2 linked regions of the Callithrix jacchus genome follow. The protein of the gene in region 1 purifies or fractionates together with the protein of each later gene. This does not show direct contact. Links are inferred from orthologs where the notes say so. Each region holds a gene or a part of one and is shown on either strand. Other genes may lie near its edges. The genes, in order: ZNF346 and KRR1.

Region 1 (6,889 bases):
TAGAACCTTAAGAACATCTGGCTTTCCTGGTCTGTAGCACTCTGACTGAGGAAGTGTTTTTCCACTAGCCTGGAGAGCCTACCCTTTGCTGGCAAGAGTTCCCTCTATAGGTCATTATCAGATATGATCAGGCCCTCTCATTCATTAATCACGTATTTGTTGAGCATCTTCTGAATGGTGGTCTAGACAGACCCAGACTGCTCTCATAACCTTACAACCTGATGGGAGGCTATACAAGTAAACAACCAGTAACTGCAGCTTGTGATAAGGGTTTTGAAGGAACCAGGTAAACAGGTTCATGGTAATCTTGAAAATGACTAACAGTCATTGTGCCCCTCTTCTATTGCAGGCTGTACATCCAGCAGATTTTCTCAGGTAATCCTTCCAACCCTGAGAGGAACAGATAATTATTCCAATTTTATACATAGAAACAACCAGCATTGTAAGTGGTGATGTGAAGCAGGGTCATGATTCAAATTGAAGCCTGTCTGGCTCACAGCATGCTCCTCCCAAGGTGTCAGGCTCAGAAGTAGGTTATGGCACCATTGATATGAAGAGGATAGGACCTGGCCTGGAGGGTCTACATGGTTCTGTCCCTTCCTCTCTGAAGGGAAATATGTGTTATGAGCAATGTGCCACAACATAACCTTGGTTTTTGTTTTTGTTTTTTTTATAGGGAAGGGGTTTCACCATCTTGGCCAGGCTGGTCTCAAACTTGACCTCAAGTGATCTGCCTGCCTCAGCCTCCCAAAGTGCTGGGATTACAGGTGTGAGCCACTGCAGCTGGCCCCAGCATAACCTTCTAAGATGGGTAGCAGAATCCCCATTTTACAAACAAGGAAACTGAGTTTCAGGCGGGCAGGTCTGCTGAAATAATTGCTTTGACTTTGGTCATTTGTTTTGCTTTGCTCATTGAGCTGAATGATTTTAAAGGTGATGGAAATGCAGGGTGTTGGTATAAGAAAATGTCCTTAGTTCTCTCTACTCTGCCTGGAGTCTCCTTTCTCACACTGTAGATCATCCTCTTTACCTGTGGATATTTTTTTTACTTTGGGGAACTCTTGAAGGATAGCCTTGAGACAAGCCCCAGCAACTCAGCCTGGAGCTCACGCAGTGTTTCAGCATGCATACCTCCCTTGCAGTTTGGTTGATAGCAGTTACAATAGACAAACTGGAGCCAACCCAGAGCCCTGCCCTGGGGCTATCCATACCTGAAAGTGCTAGTGTTGTTCACTCTTCTCTTGCTAAACTTTCCAGCTCTATGACCTTGGGCAAGTCAATAAGCCTCTAATTCTCCCAGCATGGGCAATGTAGTGACACCCTGTCTACAAAAAATAAAGTTAGCCAGGTGTGGCAACATACACCTGTAGTCCTGACTACTTGAAAGGGTGAAGTGGGAGAAGAGCTTGAGCCCAGAAATTTGAGGCGATAGTGAGCTACAATGGCACCACTGTACTCCAGCCTGGGTGACTGAGTGAGATCCTGTCTCAAAATTTTTAAAAGTCTCTAATTCTTCTGTAAAGATAAAGCTATGGTTTGTTGAACACCTGAGTCAGTCTCATGAAATTCTCACCAAGAGGTCTGAAATTAGGATACCCCCTCCCAACCCCACCTTTTACAACCAAAGAAACCCTAAGTATCAGATAGGTTAATTAACTTGCCCAAGGTCACTTAGTTACTTGGAGTTAGACCTAGGATTCAAGCCTGTTTTACTCTGAAGCCCATTCATTTTATTCTGCCACTACCAAATGGAATGAGTTTATACAAACTCATTCACTCATACACCCTGTAGGCAGTGGTTTGGTATAGTGAAAAGGCATGGGCTACAGTCCTAAATCTACCGCTTAAAAACATACTTTGGGCCGGGTGTGGTGGCTCATGCCCGTAATCCCAGCTACTCAGGAGACTGAGGCAGGAGAATCACTTGAACCTGGGAGGCAGAGGTTGTGGTGAGCCAAGATCATGCCATTGCACTCCAGCCTGGGCAACGAGTGAAATCCATCTAAAACAAAACAAAACAAATCATACTTTGGGCTAGCCACTTCAACTTTCTGAACTTTAATTTCCTTGTATGTAAGATGAAGGTGTTGTTCTCACCTTGCAGAATTGCCATGAGGATGGAATGACTGAAGCTAAGCATCCGGCATTCTGCCAGCCCACAGTGGACCTCAGTGAAGGAAAGCTGCCTTGTCTATTACTCCAAGACCCTAGAAAGGCACTGCTATCATTGCAATAAGCCAGTACAGCTGCCACACACTGACCCTGTTCCTTTGTTCTTTCTCAAATACAGGTTACCAAAAACAGTGGCATCATCCCTGGGCCAGATTCCAATGCAAAGGCAACCCATTCAGAAAGACTCAACCACCTTGGAAGACTAGAGGTGTTTCTGCCCAGTGTCCCATGTTGGGCCAGCCATGAGCCAGCTTCCTGTGACTACTCAGCCCTTGGCTCCCTCTCACTCCTTGTTCTCACCAGGAAAATACACAGGCCTGAGGCAGGATTGGGCCACAAACAACCTCTGATTGGTCCAGGCTAATTCACTCCTGTTGCTCCCCTTTGGCAGGGGTCCTGTAGGTCATGATAGGGGAGTCAGGGGTATTGAGAAACTTGTGGTCTCACCGGGTGGTAGTTTGGAGGATGGCTTTCCCTCTTCCCCAACCCCTCTGGGCCATAGGTGCTGAGGCCCTAGCCACCTGTCTTTCCTCTGAAGGTCAGTTTTGGGCCAGTTCCTGCAACTAAAGAACAGAGATCTCCCTGGGCCCTAGACATTTCCAGTGAAACCTGGAACTTTTATACCAAACCTGGGCCAGGGCAGGAAACAGAGGAAATCACTTCTACATGGGAGCTTGGAGCTAATACAACACTCCGCCTTCCCCCACAAAGTGAAGGCTTTCCTGAGCCTTAGACAAGATATGGCCAGTTGTGCAGGTTTCTGCCAACTGTAAAGTGTCCTCCTGGAGCAATGACACAGTCTTGGTGGAGCATTGCTACTCCTCCTGCCCTGCTCCACAGTTCCTGAATGGTGCTAAGGATCTATAGCACCTGGCAACAAGCTGGGGCTGGGGGAGGCCTCTATGTCCACTGGGATCATGGGACACTCCAATGGGGATGGGACCTTTCCCCTCCTCCATCAGAGGTGCTCTGACCCAACATCACATGGGAAAGCGACCCACATGCAAGTCTCCCTGAGGGTTCTGCTCCTAAAGGCAAACTGCCTCATGCCAGCCAGCCATGAGGTTCATTGCTACCCTTGGCCCTATTAACCCTTTGTTTCCCCTTGTGCAGCAGACCACCTTGCCCAGGTTGCTGTGGTGCTAGCCTTCCCCATCATCCACCAGGTGATTTTTGGTTTCCAGAGAAAGAAATGGAGAGCTGATGCAGGTTTCTACAGTGAGGAACAGATAGATGTTCCCCAGGCCCCACACCCAGATTTATCTATCTTTGCTGTGTTTTATGGCCTGGGACTGACTCCACAGAGATAGATTTTTCCTTGTAGCTTTGAAGCAAGAATTCTGAGGAGTGTCACCATCAGAGGCTTCTCTTCACTGTGTCAAAGAAGCCCCTAGCTGCTCTCGTGGCCTCCTTCCCCCACTCCCTATCCCTTTACCTGTGAAATGCCTTTGCTTTGCATATTGTGTGTGGATGTGTGTGTGTGTGGATGTGTGTGGATGTGTGTGCTTAATGCTCTGTCTCTTGATCACTGAAGCGTCCAAATAAAGAATTACTCCCATGAGTCAGACTGCAACTTAACAAATCTAGGGTTTTGAGCTGTATTACTGTTAGATCTAGTATGTCTGTCTTGACCCCTAACCCCTACCCGACTCAGACCCCCAGGTCCTCAGTAGTCATTTTAGGAGTTGGGACAGAGTCAGGCACCCTGTGAAAGTCTCCAAGGTGCCCTGAACTCAATATAGCCTCATCTCATCCACCTTTTCCTGCCTCTCCTGTCACATAGGGCCTCACGAGAAGGTCTTTAACAGGTTTAAGCTGGGGATCTGCTTTGTGTTTGAGCGAATTATTCTGACTGTTATGTAAGAGAATACAGTGGGGTCAGGAAAGGAGACCGGGAGGCCAGTATGGAAACTGTGTCCAGTATGGCTTTCCAGGCTCATCACTCAGGGCAGAGACCCAGCCTTATTTATCTCTACTTTCTGATGTCCATAGTGGTGTGTCATGAAGTTTTATTGAATGAATGAGTTGTATGAGGAGAGATGTTTTTTTCCCCGCTCAGATCTTACGCAGTGATAGGTTTGTTTCATGGGACTTATCATAGGCCTGGTGATTCTTGAAAGAGCATTTTCCACGACCCAAAAATGAGCTGAGAAGGAATGTTATGGCCAGTTGTGGTGGCATGCACCTATAGTCCCAACTGCTCAGGAGGCTAAGGCAGAAAGACCATTCAAATCCAAGAGTTCCAGCCTGTAGTATGCTAGGATCATGCCTGTGAATAACCACCTCACTCCAGCCAGGGCAACATAACAAGAGTCCATCTCAAAAAAAAAAAAAGTGGCCAGGCATGGTGGCTCACGCCTGTAATCCAAGCATTTTGGAGGCCAAGGCAGGTGGATCACCTGAGGTCAAGAGTTTAAGACCAGCCTGACCAACATGGTGAAACCCCGTCTTAAAAAAAAAAAAAGTATAGCTGGGCGCGTGACTCACACCTGTAATCCCAGCACTTTGGGAGGCCGAGGTGGGTGGATCATGAGGTCAGTAGTTTGAGACCAGCATGACCAACATGGTGAAATCCCATCTCTACTAAACATACAAAAATTAGCTGGGCATGGTGGCATACACCTGTAATCCCAGCTACTCAGGAGGCTGAGGGAGAATCACTTTAATCTGGGAGGCAGAGGTTACAGTAAGCCAAGATCACACCACTAAACTGTAGCCTGGGTGACAAAGGGAGACTCTGTCTCAAAAAAAAAAAAGTATAAAAATAAATTTTAAAAGAAGATAGCTGGGTGTGGTGGTGCATTCCCGTAGTCCTAGCTACCTAAAAGGGTGAGGCAGGAGGATTGCTTGAACCCAGGAATTCAAGGCTGCAGTGAACTATGATTATGCCAGTGTACTCTAATCTGGGCAACAGAGCAAGACTCCATCTCTAAAAATAATAATTTTTAAAATTTAAAAAGAAGAATGTTATGGCCTCAGGAGCTCTTTGTCCCATCCTTTGCAGCCAAGTTTGAGGAAAGGGCCCAGGCAGCCTCAGCTCCCATTCAGCACCACTCAGCCCCTGCTTCTGGTCAGTTGTGAAAGTCTCTACCCAGCTCCAGGGGAGGTTCGCAGCATTCAGCTTCCCAAGATCAGACTGCCTCAGCAATTTCCCCCAGAGTTCTTCTAAGCCACCCAGTATGCCAAATTCAGCCCCATCTACTAAGCAAGGGAATGAAGGATAGGGGGGTGAGTCCCTACCAGTTGTGTGGCCAGCCTTGTTGGTAAGGGGTCCTAGAGATGAAAATTTTCTTGCCCTCGGGGGTTCACACATGGTTAAAGATCATTATGACAATGATAATGCCCAGGATGCACGAGCTGATTCAGCCAAGGGTGTAAAAAAGCTGGAGAGATTGGGAAACTAGTATTTGATCTGTATAACAACCTTTGAGCTAAGAGTTGATACTCCATATATAGGAGGCCAGGTGGGGTAGCTCACACCTGTAATCCCAGGACTGGGAGGCCGAGGCAGGTGGATCACAAGACGCTAGGAGTTCAAGACCATCCTGGTCAACATGGTGAAATCCCATCTCTACAAATAAATAAAAGTCATAGAAGGAACAAGGCTAAAAGAGGTGTCATGATTTGCCCAAGGTCCTGCCTCTAAGAAGTGACAGAATGGAGAATAGAATCTGGTTCTCTAGACTTGCTCTTAGAACCCTTTACAAGTGAGGACCAGAGTCAAGGCCCCTGCAGCCTGCCTCACCAGTCTCCTGCTAGTGCCGTGGTCTTACAGGGTGAGCAGCCACAAAACAGATGGATCAAGGCTCAGTGTTCATATTCCAAGTCCCTCCTTTTTTCTCATAATTTTGTCTCATTCCCAGTGTATTAGACTCTCATCATTAAACTGTTGGAAACCCAAATCCAAGCAGTTAGCTAAAAAAGTGAATATATTGATTCACTTAATGAAAAATTCAAATACAGTGATAGCTGGACCCAGACTCAGAGATGGGTTCATCAGGAAGAATTTTCTGTCCCTCTGCTTTCCTCCTCAGGCAGGTTCTCTAATAGGTGGCAAAGTGGCCACTGGCAGCCCCAGTCTTCTCTCCTGATACATTAGTAATAACAGTGGAAAGAACACCTTTTTCCATTAGTTCCAGCAAAAATTCTGGGATTGCCTCAGCCAGTTTAGTCCTGTTCTCATCCCTGAAGTAATCATTGTGGCTAGGGAAATGGCACTCTGATTTGGGGCCTGGGTCATGTGCCTACAGCCGAGTCAGCTCCACCTAAAACACTGAGAAAGGGAGTAGGGGCCAGGTGCAGTGGTTCATGCCTGTAATCCCAGCACTTTGGGAGGCCAAGGCGGGCAGATCACGAGGTCAGGAGTTTGAGACCAGCCTGACCAACATGGTGAAAGCCCATCTCTACTAAAAATACAAAAAAATTAGCTGGTAGTGGTGGCATGTGCCTGATATCCCAGCTACTCAGGAGGCTGAGGCAGAAGAATCGCTTGAACCTGGGAGGTAGAGGTTGCAGTGAGCCGAGATCACACCACTGCACTTCAGCCTGGGCAACAGAGTGAGACTCTGTCTCAAAAAAAAAAAGGAGTGATGCAACCCCAAAAGAAAGTTGGAGGGCTTTCTGGATTAAGGGGGAATGGATGCATGGGGAGGCAGGAACAGAAACAATGTCTACCGTACCTAGAAATTGTTTAACTATTTCCTTTTTTTCCCTAACT
Region 2 (8,270 bases), on another chromosome or scaffold:
TGAGGTCAGAAGTTCAAGACCAGTCTGGTCAAGATGGTGAAACCCCGTCTCTACTAAAAATACAAAAATTAGTGGGCATGGTGGCGGGTGCCTGTAATCCCAGGTACTCGGGAAGCTGAGGCAGAGAATTGCTTGAACCGGGAGGCAGAGATGGCAGTGAGCTGAGATCGTGCCACTGCACTCCAGCCTGGATGACAAAGCAAGACTCTGCCTCAAAAAAAAAAAAAAAAAAAAAAAAAAGTCAAAATAGGGAGAAGTAACAATCAAAAAGGGCTTAAAAGGGCCTGCCTGTAATCCCAGCACTTTGGAATGCTGAGGTGAGTAGCTCACCTGAGATCAAGAGTTCAAGACTAGCATGGCCCATATGGCAAAACCGCATCTCTACTAAAAATACAAAAATTAGCTGGGCATGATGGTGGGCACCTGTAGTCCAGCTTCTCGGGAGGCTGAGGCAGAATTGCTTGAACCTGGGATGCAGAGATTGCAGTGAGCCAAGATCATGCCACTGCCCTCCAGCAATATCAATAGAGTGAGACTCCGTCTTGAAAAATAAAAAATAAAAAAGGGCTGAGACTCAAGGACTTTCCCAATCTAGTCTAGATTTGTGTCAAGAAACCCTTTAGAGATGTCAATTTTTCTTTCCCCTTTTAGTGTCATTTGAGTACATATTCTATTTGTTTACATATTTATGTTCAGATTTCCAAAGATGGTAAAGAAAAATGATGTATATTGTGATTGACTTACAATCGTATTGCTATTGAATCGCCATACTTTGAATTGTCTCTATACTGAGAGGTAACATAACATAGTCAACATTTTGATGAACATCTTTTCATGCAGGTGCGCACGTGCGCACACACACACACAGAGACAGTTTTATGTAAATAGGATCATATTATACATGCTATTTTATCATGGACATCTTCTTTTGTCTTTTTGCCTAGTTTCATCTTCTTTTCTAATCACTTTCATCTCTAAGTTAGCCAGTCTTAAAAGCTTAACGTGTATCCATCCCAATTCTTGTTCATTGTACAATCACATACAAATTCATATAATCATATATTATGCTCAGCACATGGAATATAACCAAATATTTAGAACAGTGTCTTGAACATTATAGGTGCTCAATAAATATTTGTTGAATGAGTTGTCTTAGAAAAGTGGAATCATATTATATATGCATATAATGTGTGTGTATGTGTATGTGTATGTGTATATATATGTTTATGTATCTGGCTTTTATTGCTCAATATTCTATGTAATTTTTTATATAGATTTAATTAATTATTATAAATGGTTGTATAATAGTTCATGGCTATGAAGGTAACAGCAATTTATTTAACTATATCTCTAATTGATAGTTGAAATGCTTTTACGTTTTGCCAATGTAAACAATAATAGCTATCCCCTATTGAGTGTTTATCATATGCTAAGTGGTTTTTTTTTTTTTTTTCACTTTACGTGTGTTAAACTACTGAAGGGTTAGGCTATTGTCCCCGTTTTAGGAAACTGAGCAGGCGTGGGTAAGAAACTTGCCCAAGGTTATACAGCCAGTAGGTGGCAAACTAGTCAGTATGGCTCCAAAGTATATTTCACTGAACTACTTCTATCGAAGGTAGTAATCAACACTATTGTACAAACACTTAAATTGAATGGTCCTTTATTTCTACTCAATAGTTTATCTGGCTTAGAATTATTGCAGAAACATATGTGTATTTATATGGCTAAATTGCTCTGCAAAAAGGCAGTAACAGTTTACATTTGCACCAGCAGTGTATGAGTGTTCTTTCCTCTAGCAGTATTATTTTTTAAATATATATTTATTCTTTTCTTTTTTTTTCAATCTGGTGGGTGAGAAGTATATTCCATTGTTAAGTCTGTATACTTTGTAGACAGTAGTGAGGTTGAACATTATATGTTTTTCACTCATTTGGATTTGCTCCACTAAAAATTGTTGTATTTGGGCCCTCCAGAAAAACAAAACCAGTTAAGTGTGTGTGTGTGTGTGTGTGTGTGTGTGTGTGTTTTATTTTTATTTATTTTAAAAATTGGCTCCCACATTTATGGAGGCTGGTACGTAAAAAATCTGCAGGGTAGGCTGGCAGTCTGGAGACTCAGAGATAAGACAATGCTGAAATTCAAGTCCAAGGGACTTGTGCTGCATAATTCTTCTTTCTCAGGGGAGGTCAGTCTTTTTTTTCTATTCAGGTCTTCAATTGATTGGATGAGGATTACCCACAGTATAGAGGAAAATCTGCCTTACTCAGAGTTCACTGATTTGAATGTTAATCTCATCCAAAAGCACTCCCACAGAAACATCCATAAAAATGTTCGATCAAATATCTGGATAACATTACCCAGTGAAGTTGACAATAAAAATTAACCATCACAAATATCTACTAATATGTTTTCCTTATTTTTCTATTGAATTGCTTACATCTTTTTATCACCTTGAATATTATTGTAATCAACCCATTAAATGTTTTGTGAATATTTTCCCCATCTCTATTATATCTTTTATTTTTCTTACACTATTTCTCATCATTTTAAATTTTAAATTATTATTTTGAATCAGTGAGTCACTGAAATTGAGATGAAAATTTGGACACCATCATTTTGATCATCACTATTGAGTTTCTAGTCTTCTAAGATGATTTTAAGAGATTTTTCAATATTTATTTTCAATATGTATTCAATAAATATGATATTTAGTTATTAGTCAATATTTATTTGAAATCGTTCTTTCAATTCTAATGCATTTTTGAAAGATGTTGAAATTAGATCATCTGTCCTTTTCCAAAAAAAGGAATCTAGAGCACACAGTTCTCACACGTGGAAACTATTGTTTAGAGGTTTTAAAAGTTTAAAACTTTCATATGTAATATTGATTGCAATGTTTAATTCTTAGAACTAGTCGAATTTATTTATTCCATACCATATTTATTTTTAAAAGTTTTCTTCGAAATTGCTTAAAACATAGTCTAAGCAAATTGTTGAAATATTGTTCTCATTTAATTTGACTGTCAATTTTAATTTTTAGTAAGTATATATAGGTACTATTTCCTCTTGTAAAGCCAACATATTTTTCACAATAAATAGTAGCTATTCCTGTCACTTCCTGCAGTGAGACCCATATAAATTATATTCTCGTATTTTTATTTCCTCCCGATATCTAGTGCATATTTGGCCATCATCTAAATATTCATCAAAAGAATAAACGACTTCCATGACAGCCTGGTAGCACTCCGCAGTCCGGTGGTCCAGGTTACAACGTGAGGCCGAGGAAACTACGGATTACTATCCAATTTGCCTGCACCGCTTGCTAAACTACAATTCCCAGTACGCAAACTCCATGGTTGCAGTGCATCCTGGGAGAAGGTTTCCGGCTCTTCAATTGGCCAAGTAGGAGAAGCTGTGGGTTGGGCAAAAACGCGGGCCTTAACGCACGTACGCACGGAGACTGCGCAGGTCTCCTCGTCTGAGTTCCGAGGAACTCATTTTGAGTGTGGGTATTTTAGCACGTAGGACTTAAAAACAGTTACACATCCGGCGCCACCGGAAGCAGCTTTAAAATGGCGTCTTCCTCGCTGGAGCGGCCAGAAAAAGCTGCTGGAAAAAGTGAATTTCGTAACCAGAAGCTGAAGCCGGATAACCAAGGTGATGTTATGTGGGAACCGAAGCCTGGGGTTTGTGGACGTTGAGTTGCGATGTTTCTTTCGTTGTTTGTTGACTTATAAAACCACCTGGAGCCTGTTCTTTGTAGTTAAGTACCGGAATTGCTGATGATTAAGATTGTTAGCCGGGCCCACCGGAACGACTAGCCGATATGGTGTCACCCACGTGTTCCTAACTATTTCTTTTGCTGAAGGGTCCCCCAAGCGAAGCTCTTGCGGAATGCGTATTCTGTAAAAGGATGAGGGTTGAGAAAATGTCCAGGGCGCTGCGGAACCTGGTAGCGCGCGGGTGGCCGAAAGTCACTGACGGAATGAGAAATAGGGTGAGGTGGAAATAGGTAGTCATGACATACAGGTGTGGACCCTGATAATGGAGTGAGATGTGGGGAAAGGAGCTGACATGCCCTTAGCTTTAGTTTGTCAGTAAAGAAATTTTAATAGATTTATCAATTATTCCTGTGTCATATTGCTAAAATATTAGACGACACAGTTCTTACTCTTTAGATTGTGCTACCTTTCAATTAACTCCTGCGTTATAGTCTGGTTTTACCCATTTTCTTCAGTATGAGTGACAGAGATAGTCAGAGAAATAGCCTGGGGACCTGCTCAACCAGGCTATAGGAAGTGTTAAAAACATCGAACTCTCAATTTAGATACATTGGGAAAGTAGTAAAGGTTTTTTTGTTGTGGCTCATTAAGTGGTTATGTAATGTAAATAGCAGAGGTTACAACTTATATACAGTTTAAATAATAAAAACATGCAAGAACCTAGCATTCAGACTACTAAGTAGAATAGAGCAAGCATTACTATACCCCTCAAACCCTTATGTACACCTCTCAGATCATATTCTCTTTTCCAGATTCAGAAGTAACCACTCTGAATTGTATTATTTTCTTTTCCTCTTCTTGTAGTCACGAAGTGGCTTAATTTTGCGTCATTTTCAATTTTATACATCAAAGTGGACTGTATGCATTTTTCTGTGTCTTCTAAGGTTTAGCTTTCTGTTTTTCAAACAGGGTAATACCCGTAGGTGTAGTTTTAGTCTTTTCACTGTTACATGGTGTTTCCTTGAATGAATATACCCCAATTTATTTTTTCATTTTACCGTTGGTGGACATTTGGATTGTTCACATTGCTTACAATTATAAACAATACTGCTAAAACATCGTGGTACATGTCTTCTGGTTAGCAAGGGTTTCTCTAGGTTATGAACATAGGATTGCAATCACTGAAGTGTAGGTTGTGTGTAAGTAATGCTAACTTTTTTTTCCAAAGGGGTTGTGTCAGTTTTGTCCCTACTAGCAGTGAATGAAAGTTCTCATTGCCTTCCATTCGTACGAATACGTGATATTATCCGAATTTTGAATTTCTCTAATTTTGGTAGGTATGAAATGGTATCTGGTTGTAGTTTTAATTTGCATTTTGTGATCACCTGTGAGGTTGCATATCTTTTCACGTGTTTGGGGGCTAATTGTACTTTCTTAATTGTGAAACTTCCTGTTTATTTCATTTGTCAGTTTTTTTCTGATTTTGGAGTGGGGAGTTTTAAAAAAAACTGATACATAGCCTTTGAAGATTTTAAATTGGATAGGGACTTGGTCAGGTAAGCATTGTAAGTAACTAGTTGCAGTGGCTCATGCCTGTAATCCCAGCACTTTGGAAAGCTGAGGTGGGCGGATTGCTTGAGCCCAAGAGACCAGCCTGGGCAGCATGGCAAACCATTTCTCTACAAAAAAATATATATATATATACAAAAATTAGCTGGGCATGGAGGCACATGCCTGTAGAACCAGCTAGTTATGAGGCTGAGGCAAGAGGATCAGATTGCTTGAGTCCAAGAGGTCTAGGCTGGGTGACAGAGTCAGGCCCTGTCTCCAGAATACACACACACACACACACACACACACACACACACACTAAATATAAGTCACTTTTGTAGAATGAGTTCTTTAAAGGATATTGGAGAGTGAATGGTATATGAAGACTAGCCAATTGTCTGTGATTTGAACCAGAAATAGCTAAGTGGATGTGAGTATATGCAGAAAGTTAAGCTGTTTGAGGTTGATAAATAGACTAATGACCTGCTTTTCAGACTTACTGTACTTCAGAGTCTCCTGTTGAGCATGGTAAAACAGACTTCTGTCCCTCATCCCAGAAATTGTGATTCAGTAGGTCTGGGGTGGGGCCCAAGAATTGCATTTCTTACAGACTTAGAGTTTATGCTGATACTGCAAGTCTGTAGATCATACCTTTGAGTATAACTGAATTAGAGTATAGCTGTTGAATTTCAGGGGTTCTTAAAATTCAGGACCAGGACTTTTAAAAATCAATGATTCAGGAGATAATTTATGACCCTTAGGAGGCATTTTCTTTTAGTGAAAGGAGTCCCAGGCTGAGTCAGCTTTGTGTTCGCTTAGGCAAGTCACTTAGCCTTTCAGACTGTCTTCTATAAAATGGTAATAATAATACAGATTCGTTCTAACTTCTATAGTTATGATGAAAGGCATATGGAAATAAGGCACTGAAAACACTTAGGAAAACCTAGAATTATCAGTGATTTTTTTTTTGAGATGGAGTTTCACTCTTGTTATCCAGGCTGGAGTGCCATGATGATCTTGGCTCACCGCAACCTCCGCCTCCGGGTTCAGACAATTCTCCTGCCTCAGCCTCCTGAGTAGCTGGGATTACAGGCACGTGCCACCATGCCCAGCTAATTTTTTTGTATTTTTAGTAGAGACGCGGTTTCGCCATGTTGACCAGGATGGTCTTGATCTCTTGACCTCCTCGGCCTCCCAAAGTGCTGGGATTACAGGCTTGAGCCACCGCACCCGGCCACCAGTGATTATTAACTGAAAGTATAAACTAGAATCCTCTTTCGGAAGTCTTACACACACACACACACACCCAGGTTCCATCCACTCCAGGAAAGTCAGAAAGATTAATTGTATTTAAAGTAATAGACAAAATGGCATTCAAATCTTCATGATGAAGTATGTGTTTCTTGAATACTCACTATCTGCTTGGCATATGCCAACTAGAGAGAAGAGGGTTTCTGTTTTTAAGGAACTCTGTCTTCTGAGGCAGCTGAAATGTGTACAGATAATTTTAATATAGTGAGTTGATGATGACAGGAATGTTCTTTGACTCTTAAGTAATATAAAAAGCAGGGGAAGAGGAAATGTAAGGAGTATTTAGAAGGCTTGTGAATATGTGCATAAAGTGTCCAAAAGACAGTTAAAATGTGATGTGTAACTGTTTTCCTTTCTATAGATGAATCAGAACTCCTTACTGTTCCTGATGGTTGGAAGGAACCAGCTTTTTCCAAAGAGGACAATCCCAGAGGACTCTTGGAGGAGAGCAGTTTTGCAACTTTGTTCCCCAAATACAGAGAAGCTTACTTGAAAGAGTGTTGGCCATTGGTGCAGAAAGCCTTAATTGAACATGTATGTGTATCTTATTTTAGACTTTGCTTTTGCTTATGTCGTTACTTTTAAGTAAGTGTATGTATGCTGATGTATTTTTTTAAATAGTGCTAACATAGCAGGTTCCTTTGGTTCCTTTGGTATTTTAAATAATTTAGGTAAGTCTTTCTACCTAATGATCATTTGTTTTTAATTTTATGTTGAAATATTCTTGAGATTATGCTCACAAGTGAGAAAATAGCATTTTAATTTGCTTTATTGAAATGTTTTTTCTGATTGAAAGTTGATGCTTTAAGTTTTCTAATCATTGCTTTTTTCTGAACCTATCAGAATTTGCTTTTGATTTGTATTTAGTCTGATAATCAGCTAGAAAAAGTTTGAAAGGGAAAGTCAATTCTTACTAATAGAGCAGATGGTAGACTGGAGTTGGGTCCAAAATAGGGAAGCTATACAGCTTTACATTTTTACTTTAGTCAGATTTTAAGTATGGCCTCATTTGGTCGATTTATAATTTTAAAATTAGAGGCAATCTATATTCAATGCTTACAAAGTATTCTAAAACCAAGTGTAAATGGTTTCAATTGCTCCAGTTTCTTATAGTTCATTAAGTATGAAAGTAATCGAGTATTCATTATTTATGCTTAATTACCTAGCTTCTTCAAGGAAGTAATTGATAGAAATTGAGAGGTGACAGAAATTAATAGGTTGGTTGGGATAGGCTTTATAATTATCTAAAATAAACTCATTTTTAGACAACTGAGTGTTTGTTCTTCTTTTTGTAGCATGTTAATGCAACCCTGGACCTGATTGAGGGCAGTATGACTGTTTGTACTACAAAGAAGACTTTTGATCCATATATCATCATCAGGGCCAGAGATCTGATAAGACTGTTAGCAAGGAGTGTTTCATTTGAACAGGTAAATCTAGAAGTAGAGACTTTGCTTTATTTGCATCAGGGTAAACCTATAGCATCCCATCTTTTCCTCCCTCCCTTCCACTATCAAGTTTTCATGTTTGTGCTTAGATAATGTTAGTGTGGGCTTGGAAAATAAATGTGATTGTAAAAAATGACTTTTTTTTTTTCCCCCAAAAGGCAGTACGAATTCTTCAGGATGATGTTGCATGTGACATCATTAAAATAGGTTCTTTAGTAAGGAATAAAGAAAGATTTGT

The links.
Region 2: the proteins of ZNF346 (region 1) and KRR1 purify together in Homo sapiens (affinity purification with mass spectrometry; 3 studies listed by BioGRID and IntAct, with this or other methods). This does not show direct contact. The link is inferred for Callithrix jacchus from reciprocal best matches to the Homo sapiens genes ZNF346 and KRR1.

What each region holds. Positions count from the first base shown.
Region 1 is NC_133503.1:69,075,940-69,082,828, reverse strand, and holds the end of ZNF346 (zinc finger protein 346), read left to right. Parts: intron 1-349; coding exon 350-375; intron 376-676; coding exon of another isoform or gene 677-719; exon of another isoform or gene 720-767; intron 768-2,290; coding exon 2,291-2,418; 3' UTR 2,419-3,754; downstream 3,755-6,889.
Region 2 is NC_133510.1:78,156,967-78,165,236, reverse strand, and holds the start of KRR1 (KRR1 small subunit processome component homolog), read left to right. Parts: upstream 1-3,536; 5' UTR 3,537-3,572; coding exon 3,573-3,657; intron 3,658-6,945; coding exon 6,946-7,118; intron 7,119-7,879; coding exon 7,880-8,014; intron 8,015-8,190; coding exon 8,191-8,270. UniProt on the Homo sapiens protein: Part of the small subunit (SSU) processome, first precursor of the small eukaryotic ribosomal subunit.